2 linked regions of the Arabidopsis thaliana genome follow. The protein of the gene in region 1 interacts with the protein of each later gene in a pairwise test. Each region holds a gene or a part of one and is shown in the gene's direction. Other genes may lie near its edges.

Region 1 (4,190 bases):
TATCGAATGTGTTTTTCACTAGAAAATACGATAATATACTGACCGATGTCTTGAGATTTTGGACATATATCACAAGACATTCATGTAGCAACAAACGAATCTTCATGATCATGTTATGTAGTATGGGAAACTAACAGTAAACTGTTACAAACTTATTGATATGATATATGCTACAACATCTTCTAGAAATAGGAGCTATTACTACGCTACGTACTGTTAATGGTATAATGGTATCTCTATATCGATCATGTCATGTCTTTATATAGTTTATGACTCAATGACTCATCTATATCTTTCTTTTGAAAATAAGAACATGATATGTAGAGAAAGTGCAACTTCTTACTACTAACAAAACGAATGAATATTCCTAACATTTAAATAGAAATAAAGGACATTTGAAAACGATTGATAGGAAAAGTGATACTGTGATTAACGATGTCTTCTACAAATACATTGGATTATATATAATGCCTTTTATCTCCACTAAAAATTGTTGACAGAAAAACCATAATCGCTCCGATCGAAAAGCTCAGAACATAAAATTGAAAACGAGAGTGGTACCCTCAAACTGTTTTATCCATTTAAAGTAATAGCACTACGTTTAGTTCATTTTGAAAAAAAAACGTCGGTGAGACTTGTAACTAATGCTGTCCTTGTCGCATTTTAATAGATATACAATTACAAAATGTCTATCTACATTTGTAATAAAACAAAACATCGAGCCCATGTAGTGTAATTGACAACGATTACTCATTCACTTGGGTGGGATAAAATAATTATGTTTCACTATTATGAATTATCTTGAAAATAAATTCTTATACTGCGTTTATACATCATTTTACGCAAAGAGGCGTGACAAATTCAATGTTGAATTCGTAAGAATATGTTTATCAATGTATATAGATAGTGGATTATTAAAAAAATAAACATCAAATTAATAAAGACTTAAATTTGATTAAGAGATATGTGTGGATGAATATATAATTTGACTTTTTCTTGAACCATGCCACATGTAACAGAGACTCTGGCATGACTGGATACTTTGCTGGATTACGCTAGTGTACGACGTATATACAGCGAAGCAACCGTTTTCACCCACTTACTGCTTGACAGCTCACCATAAACGACATTATTCTACTAGTGTACTGTAGACCAACCGCACTTGATCATATCAAACCTACCTTTACCTCTTCCCCCTGAACTTTCCTAAATGTCATACAATCACCCCAATCATTTATATTACTCCATTCACTCTATCATTTATAAATTTTGACTTTTGTTCATTTAAACCATTAAGCAATCTCTAGTCCTAGATAAGTAGAAACGAGTATTTAAACCAGTTCTTAAAGAAAAAAGACAAATATTATCTGGTTTGGTTTGATATTTTTTTTGTTTTGTTTGGTTTAGTTTGATTTAGTTTCAATTCTAATTGAGTAATTTATAACAAATTTACGGAAATTGAGTTATTTATCATTTTTGTAGTTAAATGGTTTGATTTACGTTTTGTTGTGAAGAAACAAAAAATCTCTCATTTTCCATCCAATTTCTTGTCGGATTCTAGGTGTAAACCGGATTAGAAACCTCTTAGTTGAGAACTTAATAAGTTCATCCCACAATCAAATTAGTTGTGGGGTCAATTGTAACTATTGAAAGTTTCGAGGCTAAAAACTATAAAAACATGAAAATAATATTTTTCAGCAGCTAATCAACTTGTTTTCTTCAGCGAGCGACATTTTGGAAGGAAGCATTCCATTAGCTTTTTTGCTGTCTCCAGAAAATAAATTTTCAATCTTTCGTCGGAAAAAAGAAGAAGAAGAAGCAGAGCTGGGTTTAGTTTTTTCACGAGAAGCAAAGAGATCAATAAGTCAGTGAGCTTTTTTCTCGTTTCTGACGATGGCGGTTGCGCCGGCAAGAGCTCGTTCAGACTATGATTACCTCATCAAGCTTCTTCTCATCGGCGATAGCGGTTAGCTTCTTTATCCATTTATGTGTTCTCAAATTAGCAATTGAAAAAACTCAAAAGTGTTTGATTTCATCTTCTGAGATTATCTCATGTCTGTTTTTTTCCGATCTTAATTAGGGTTTTATGATTTTGTTTTGTTTGTGCTAATTACTAATAGTAGTAGAGATTGTTGAATTCGTTGACAAATTTACTTCTTTTTGTGTTAAATGGTTTGTTTTAGCTTTATGTGTATATTTATGTTTCAGGTGTGGGGAAGAGTTGTTTGTTACTTCGATTCTCAGATGATACTTTCACTACAAGTTTCATTACTACCATTGGGTATGTCTTCTGCTGTTTACTTCAAGATTTGTCTTAAATGTTGTTGTTGTTTGTTGTCTAAGTTTGTGTTTTTTACAGTATTGACTTCAAGATAAGAACTGTTGAACTTGATGGGAAGCGTATCAAATTGCAGATTTGGGACACTGCTGGTCAAGAACGTTTCAGAACTATCACTACAGGTAATAAGCTGGATTTTTAACGTTGTTTGCTACTAATTGAATCGGTTGATTGATTCTTCAGTCTTGTCTTGATGAAGTAAAAGACAATTAATTTGTTTTTGCAATTTCCTTTAAAGCATTTGGTCCCTTTTTTTTGCCTTGCAGCGTATTACAGGGGAGCGATGGGTATATTGCTTGTCTACGATGTAACGGATGAGTCATCTTTTAACAGTATGTATTTTACTTCTCTGTTCGTCTTGTTACTGTTTTGCAATGGCATTGAGAAAATCGGATTGTGAGACTTGTGGCAACTGAACACGACTGTTTCAAACAGATATTAGGAACTGGATGAAGAACATTGAGCAACATGCCTCAGATAATGTCAACAAAATATTGGTTGGTAACAAAGCTGATATGGATGAAAGCAAAAGGGTAAGTAATCTTTAGTTGCATACTTTACTTTCAAGAGTTTAATTATAGTGTACTGATTTGTGATCTTCTTGTTCAGGCTGTTCCAACAGCAAAGGGCCAAGCTTTGGCTGATGAGTATGGAATCAAATTCTTTGAGACGGTGAGCTAGATAAAAAACAGAACATGTCTGCTGTTTTTCATTAATATGCTCTTGAGGTTACTAATGTGATTACAATTGTTGCAGAGTGCAAAAACAAACCTCAATGTCGAAAATGTTTTCATGTCAATCGCAAAAGACATAAAACAAAGATTGACAGAAACCGACACGAAGGCAGAGGTAAGAACTGCAGGAATCAACCATTAATACTCGATCTTCATATTCTTATACCGACATTTTAGCTGAGTAATAAACATATGTACTGTTCTTGTTACTTTGCAGCCCCAAGGCATCAAGATCACTAAACAAGATACTGCCGCATCGTCTTCTACAGCCGAGAAGTCAGCTTGCTGTAGTTACGTTTAGGAGTATGATTGCTCTTTTTCGCCTGCACCGGGTTTTTTAAATATCTGGCCATCTTTTTCATCTCTTACGTCTCAAATCAGAGATAATTCTCATGTTGTTACCTAGAACGAGTAGGAAATCTCATTGATGGTTGTGATCTTTATGTCTAATTTGTTATCTCCATAATTCCTGTACAATGATCTTCCTGATATGGAAGACTATGTTGGTCAAAAAACTATGTGAAAAAGACTTTGAATTTATAAAAATGAAACTGTTGTAGTGTGTATACCTCTGACTTCACTGTTCAAATCAGGATTTATCTTATTCACTGTGAATGCTGTTCTCTACTAGAACCATAGTTTGAGCCAAAATAAACACGGATTTAAGAAAACACTTGATGGGGTTTATTCTATTATATGATGTTATTATCACAAATCTCATTTCAGAAGCAAAAGAAGAATACAAGTAATCCCACAAATTTACATTGAAGCTACATTATGTTCTACACACAAAAGAGGCAACCACAGAGAGAAGAATCAGGTTCAGTTTGCAATACACAAGATAAAGATTCGAGTATTTTATATGCAACATCGACTAGGGTCACTAGCTGCAACAGCCGGATTGAGTATTAGTCTGGTGTTCTGGTTTCTGCTTCAAGATGTTTCTCTTCACAGCACTTGATCCTTCTTCCAAGAGACTAGGTACCTCCATTATCTGTTTCATCACATTCACTCTATGTTATATATGAATCTCTCTTTTCGAATCGTTTTTTTAAACAGATTTAAGGATCTTTACCTTCAAAGCCAACTCTTCGAAACACTGTTCCACGTTTTGTCGA
Region 2 (6,290 bases), on another chromosome or scaffold:
ACAGCTTCTTATATGATTAGATCGAGGCAAAATAATGTATACTCTACAAAAGAAGTCAATAACTTTCCATTAGATTAATTGGGATTCAACCATACGACTGTACGTGTTATGTATGTTACACTTCTATATTCGTATAGTATATTAATCACATATTCACACGATATCAAAATGAATAACTAGCGAGTTAATCTAAGATAGATTCAACGAATTAAATTGAATATCAACTGTAGAAGAACTGAAACTTTGAATACCGACCGACGAACGTGACATAATAAAAGCCACACAGTAGAACAATTTCTTAAAAAAATATCATCATGTGGTTACAAAACATTATCACCTGGTTCATTACTTAATTTCATTCGCGATGACGATTATAGTTGATGGTCGATCACAGTTAATATACAGATACAATTAATTTGGATTAGTACTAGTATAGTTTTTTTTTAAAGAAGGAGATAAACATAACTAATCATTTGGTCTTTTACGTGGGTATCACATTAAATCCATACAACGTAGTGCACGCCGGTACACCTTTTCTAAAATATTATAAATATATTTAAGAATTACTATAGTCTATATAGGCTCAATCAAATGTGTCGATCGCTTGAGTCCTTTTGTTTTTTAACGTTACTAAATAGTACTAGTAGTAAATTCACTCTTACAAAACCGTTAGGTGAATTTACCTTTATTCTAACAATAACTATAGTTTAAACAAATTTCAATGATGAAAAGCGGTCGACGAAGTTTCTAACTGCAATTTGCTTCTGAAAAAATCAGAGTAACCAAAACAGAATTCGTTAATTTTTACACGCACGCTTAAATGCGTGTCGACGAGTAAACGAGCACGTATACATCAAACTTGCCGGATTTTTTTTGTTTTGTGATGAGTTCACATGTAAACGATAGTGACCTTTTTGTTATACCGAAATAGATCATAGACCAATTCTCAAACCAATCTCTAAAATGGTTAATGGTAGCCAATATGTCACATTCCTAGATTTCATATGTTCAACTTTTAAACGCTGTTAACATATAACGTATTCATATTTTCAAGTTATCAACAACGCAATATACATGTTTGATTATTTATATGTGGCTAATCGTGTTACTTCTTTTTTTTTGTTCTAAATTCAAATATGAAGATTTTTAGTGGAAAGAAGATATTGGCCCTTGACAAGTTGTTTATGATCTATTAAAGTTTTGTTTTTCCTTTTAATTGAATTTCCTCTATGTTTATCACAAAATAAAGAAAATGAGGAGTAAAAACAAATTCAGCAGAAAATAGTGAAACAAATGATTCATTTCCATATATAACCACAAGGAAAAAGAAAATTTCCCTATTCTAATAGTTTTGTTCCTCCTAATTACTCTGATTACATATATTTAAACTAAAACTGAAAAGTACACATATAGTAATCCGGTCAGGTGATTACTGTCTTTTTTTCAAGATTTTGGAAGTTTTACCCATTTTAAAGAAAATTTTGAATGCTGTTCTATTATAGTATTAACATCTGTTTAGTGAAGTCAAAACATTGGTCATAACAATGTGATTAAAGTTAACATCTGTTTAGTATTAACATTTTTAGGGCTGGTGGGCTTTTTGTGTCCACTTCCCGATGGTTACTGCAACTTTAATTGAATTTTACTATTTTACCCTACCCAATATTAAAGCTTTTTATTTATTTCTCTGCTTCTCTCTTTTGCTCTGTCTCTTTATCCTTTTTCTTTTGATGCTTCATTCTCTCTTTTCTTTTTTTTCCTCTGTAGCGTTTCTAGGAATCTCTCTCCAACGTTTAGGTTTCTTCTCAGATTTAGAAAGTTTCTTCTCTATCTGAAGAATTTTCATTTCGATTTCGCTTCTTCCTTCACCCTAATCCGTAATCGAATGCCATTTCGAAGATTGTGTTGAAGAGTAGAGAGGAAGAAGAAGACTAAGAAGCTAGGGTTTCTCTGATGAGTAGATGATGCGTGAACCGCTTGTTAGCGAAGAAGAAGAAGAAGAAGCTACTGAAGTTTTACTAGTGGAGAAGACGAAGTTGTGTAAGAGACGAGGAGACGAAGAAAAAACGGAAGAGAGAAGAGACGATTTGTTGTTACTAGCTTTAACGCCGATGGTACGATCGAAATCTCAAGGAACTACTCGGCGCGTCACTCCCACGCCACCTCCTGTTGACGTGGAGAAACCGTTACCAAACGGAGATCTCTACATGGGAACGTTTTCCGGCGGGTTTCCCAACGGATCCGGTAAGTATTTGTGGAAGGATGGGTGTATGTACGAAGGCGAGTGGAAACGTGGTAAAGCGAGTGGTAAAGGCAAGTTTTCGTGGCCGAGTGGTGCGACTTATGAAGGAGAGTTCAAATCTGGGAGAATGGAAGGATCTGGGACTTTTGTTGGTGTTGATGGTGATACTTATCGTGGCTCTTGGGTTGCTGATCGGAAACAAGGTCATGGTCAGAAGAGATATGCCAACGGAGATTACTATGAAGGTACATGGCGGCGGAATCTTCAGGATGGGAGAGGGAGATATGTTTGGATGAATGGGAATCAGTATACAGGAGAGTGGAGAAATGGTGTGATATGTGGTAAAGGTGTGCTTGCTTGGCCTAATGGGAATAGATATGAAGGTCAATGGGAAAATGGTGTTCCTAAAGGAAGTGGTGTGTTTACTTGGGCTGATGGAAGTTCGTGGATTGGTTCTTGGAATGAGAGTAGTAATCTCATGAGGAATTTCTTTGATGGGATTGAGAAGAATGAGTTGATTGTTGCGACTAGGAAGAGATCTTCGGTTGATAGTGGCGCTGGAAGTTTGACTGGGGAGAAGATTTTCCCTAGGATATGTATTTGGGAGTCTGATGGAGAAGCTGGGGATATTACTTGTGATATTGTTGATAATGTGGAAGCTTCTGTGATATACAGAGATAGGATTTCTATTGATAAAGATGGGTTTCGTCAGTTTAGGAAGAATCCTTGTTGTTTCAGCGGTGAGGCTAAGAAACCTGGAGAGACGATATCTAAAGGGCATAAGAAATATGATTTGATGCTCAACCTGCAGCATGGAATTAGGTAACTTCTTAGAAGCTTGAGGATCCCAATGTTTGGAGAGTTTCTGGATCTGTGTTTTTCTAACCAAGTTGTGAATTTTTAGGTACTCTGTCGGCAAACACGCTTCCGTTGTTCGAGATCTCAAACAGAGTGATTTTGACCCAAGTGAAAAGTTCTGGACAAGGTTCCCACCGGAGGGTTCTAAGACCACACCACCGCATCTATCTGTGGATTTCCGCTGGAAGGACTATTGCCCTTTGGTGTTTAGGTATTCAATCTTTTCATTTATATGCTGTTTATTTGATTCTGCATAGTTTGGTGATGTCTGCACACTATCTGGGTTTGGGATTAATATGTCTCCTTTGGTTTATTCTTTTGTTAGACGGCTTAGGGAGCTATTCACGGTGGATCCTGCCGATTACATGCTAGCTATCTGTGGAAACGATGCCCTTAGGGAATTGTCTTCGCCTGGAAAGAGTGGAAGCTTTTTTTACTTAACTCAAGATGACAGATTTATGATCAAGACGGTGAAGAAATCTGAAGTCAAGGTTAGTCGTTGGCTTTTGTCTTGACTTCTTCTGTCCTATTTGATTTCCTTTGTATTATTGTTTCTTAGCTTTCACTTTACATTCTTAATCATTTTGTCCACTAAGTGTGGTTACCTAAATAATTTTGACCTGAAGTTTTTTGTTTTCTTTATCCAGGTGCTTCTACGAATGCTTCCAAGTTACTACAAACACGTCTGCCAGTATGAAAATACACTTGTGACTAGGTTCTATGGTGTGCATTGTATCAAACCTGTTGGTGGCCAGAAGGTTTGTGTTGTTCATCTACATTTCATAAGACTCTTTGTTTCCAATGGACAATTTTTCTCATATTGTTTGCCATCTTACCAGACTCGGTTTATCGTTATGGGGAACTTGTTCTGCTCCGAATATAGAATCCAGAGAAGGTTTGACCTTAAAGGGTCTTCCCATGGACGGTATACCTCCAAACCTGAAGGGGAAATTGATGAGACCACTACTCTTAAGGACCTTGATCTCAATTTTGCTTTCCGTCTTCAGAGAAATTGGTACCAAGAGCTTATGACGTAAGCTGCCAAATTCCATCTAGTCTTATTCTTTATTTAATTTGGCTGTTTGAGTGCAAACACTTTGCTCAGCTGACTGGATTTCATTTACCAGGCAAATTAAACGCGACTGTGAGTTCTTGGAAGCTGAAAGAATAATGGATTATAGTCTTTTGGTTGGCGTTCACTTCCGTGATGACAACACAGGAGACAAAATGGGGTTATCTCCATTTGTATTGAGATCTGGTCAGTTAAACTTCTCGTTCTTCCTCAAGTATTATTCTGTGTAACTCGCCCATTTGGATGATATTCATTCATGTATTGTGCAGGTAAGATAGAGTCATACCAAAGCGAAAAATTTATGCGTGGTTGTCGGTTCTTGGAGGCGGAACTTCAAGACATGGACCGCATTTTAGCTGGCAGGTACGTGAATATTTATTCTCACCAATCATTACCTCAGGTTTAATCTCTAGCACAAGAAGTTGACCTAACAACTCATAGTCATTGGTAATTGCTGTGACAGAGAGTGGTTCAATCGTGTAGGTGTGATTTCATATGAGAACTACCTTACATCTCTAAGCATTATTGTATTAAAAAGTTGCTTGGCAATCTTGTGGGGGCTCTCAATTGAATAGAAAAACACAATGATATTGTGGGGGCAAGACAGATCATGTGGTCCTTTTTTGTTGTTAATTAAACTAGTTATTAGAGATCAATCAACTCTTTATCCATAGTTAAAACTCTCAACGTTTTGCTGAAAATTTGATTGCTTTTGCAGGAAACCATTGATTCGATTAGGCGCAAACATGCCTGCAAGAGCAGAACGAATGGCGAGAAGAAGCGACTATGATCAGTATTCCTCAGGAGGGACCAACTACCAATCTCATGGAGAGGTCTACGAAGTGGTTCTATATTTTGGAATCATTGACATTTTACAAGATTACGACATAAGCAAGAAGATCGAGCATGCTTACAAGTCTCTACAAGCTGACCCGGCTTCAATCTCTGCCGTTGATCCCAAACTATACTCAAGAAGGTTTAGAGATTTCATCAGCAGAATCTTCATCGAAGACGGCTAAAATGAAGGTCTACTTATATTAGCCCCATCATTGAAAGGTCAAACCTAAGCTCCTCGCTTTATACCTCAGATAAAAAAGAGGCTTGAAGACCCTGCGGCATTAGGGGCAAAAGGGTAATTGAAGAAGGGCGGAAATTGATTTGGGATTTTTTCAATTATAATATTTGAGAATGAACTGATCAAACAAATTTTGGGTGGGGGATTACTTATTTTTGTTTTGGAGGGTGAGAGGAAGATATATGTCATATGTGAATATAGATTTGTGAAGGAGAAGAAAAGTACATAGGCTTAGAGAAAAAAAAAATGGGTTTGGCAGATTTGGAAATGCATTGGGAATAAGATAAGTGTACAAGATTAATGAATAGGATGGGTGTTTTATTTTATTCCCATTTGCTATATAATTTCCCAATGTCTTTTTATTTGTTTAGAGTTCATTTTGTGATGGATGAAGTATTTTTTAAAATTGAGACAAAAGAAAAAGCTAAAGATTTTATCAAAAGAGGTCCCATATTCCCATGGGATCCCTCTTCTTCTTCACCATCCTTTTCACGTCTAAAGATACTTTGCCAAATTTTATTCAAACTCTATTTTTAGTCACATGTTTGTGTTTAACATATTTGGTATGTAGTAGTATAAAATTTCTCAAATTGTATATGGAAAATAATCAGGTATTTCTGATGATAGTTGTTCATATGTGGAAAATAAATCGACCACTGATATGCCTATACATAAATATATAGGAAGAAAAAAGAATAGTAGTATGTTAGATATATTAAGGATTTGACATGATGTTACTATGATTTATTTACAAAAAAAAAAAGTACATAAACATATACTATGGTCAAAAAAGTAGAGAGAGAGAGGTTGGAATTGAGGTTGTGTTTCCCATGAAAAGGAGAGAAAGCAAAGAGAGAAGACCACATGTATTCTTTTATAAACATCTCACATTACCCTTACTTTTTCATATTTAATTAATCTTAATTTTATATAATTTTAGAGTATGGGTTTTGTTGATGAGCAAGTAAAATATTGATGTGTATGTTGACTTATTTATATCTTCTAATCAGTAAGTCTTTACCACAACATGTATCTTTCAACAA

What was found.
Region 2: the proteins of RAB8C (region 1) and PIP5K2 interact in a two-hybrid assay, tested with the Arabidopsis thaliana proteins (one study listed by BioGRID).

What each region holds. Positions count from the first base shown.
Region 1 is NC_003076.8:881,786-885,975, forward strand, and holds RAB8C (RAB GTPase homolog 8C), read left to right. Parts: upstream 1-1,525; 5' UTR 1,526-1,893; coding exon 1,894-1,966; intron 1,967-2,208; coding exon 2,209-2,281; coding exon of another isoform or gene 2,282-2,285; intron 2,286-2,359; coding exon 2,360-2,460; intron 2,461-2,604; coding exon 2,605-2,670; intron 2,671-2,773; coding exon 2,774-2,871; intron 2,872-2,947; coding exon 2,948-3,010; intron 3,011-3,094; coding exon 3,095-3,187; intron 3,188-3,289; coding exon 3,290-3,373; 3' UTR 3,374-3,666; downstream 3,667-4,190. Other genes in the region: RABC2A (RAB GTPase homolog C2A), read right to left, coding at 3,956-4,066, 4,148-4,190. UniProt on the Arabidopsis thaliana protein: Involved in membrane trafficking from the Golgi to the plasma membrane.
Region 2 is NC_003070.9:29,218,671-29,224,960, forward strand, and holds PIP5K2 (phosphatidylinositol-4-phosphate 5-kinase 2), read left to right. Parts: upstream 1-1,678; 5' UTR 1,679-1,961; coding exon 1,962-3,064; intron 3,065-3,146; coding exon 3,147-3,311; intron 3,312-3,425; coding exon 3,426-3,591; intron 3,592-3,747; coding exon 3,748-3,858; intron 3,859-3,939; coding exon 3,940-4,133; intron 4,134-4,227; coding exon 4,228-4,358; intron 4,359-4,441; coding exon 4,442-4,535; intron 4,536-4,890; coding exon 4,891-5,191; 3' UTR 5,192-5,756; downstream 5,757-6,290.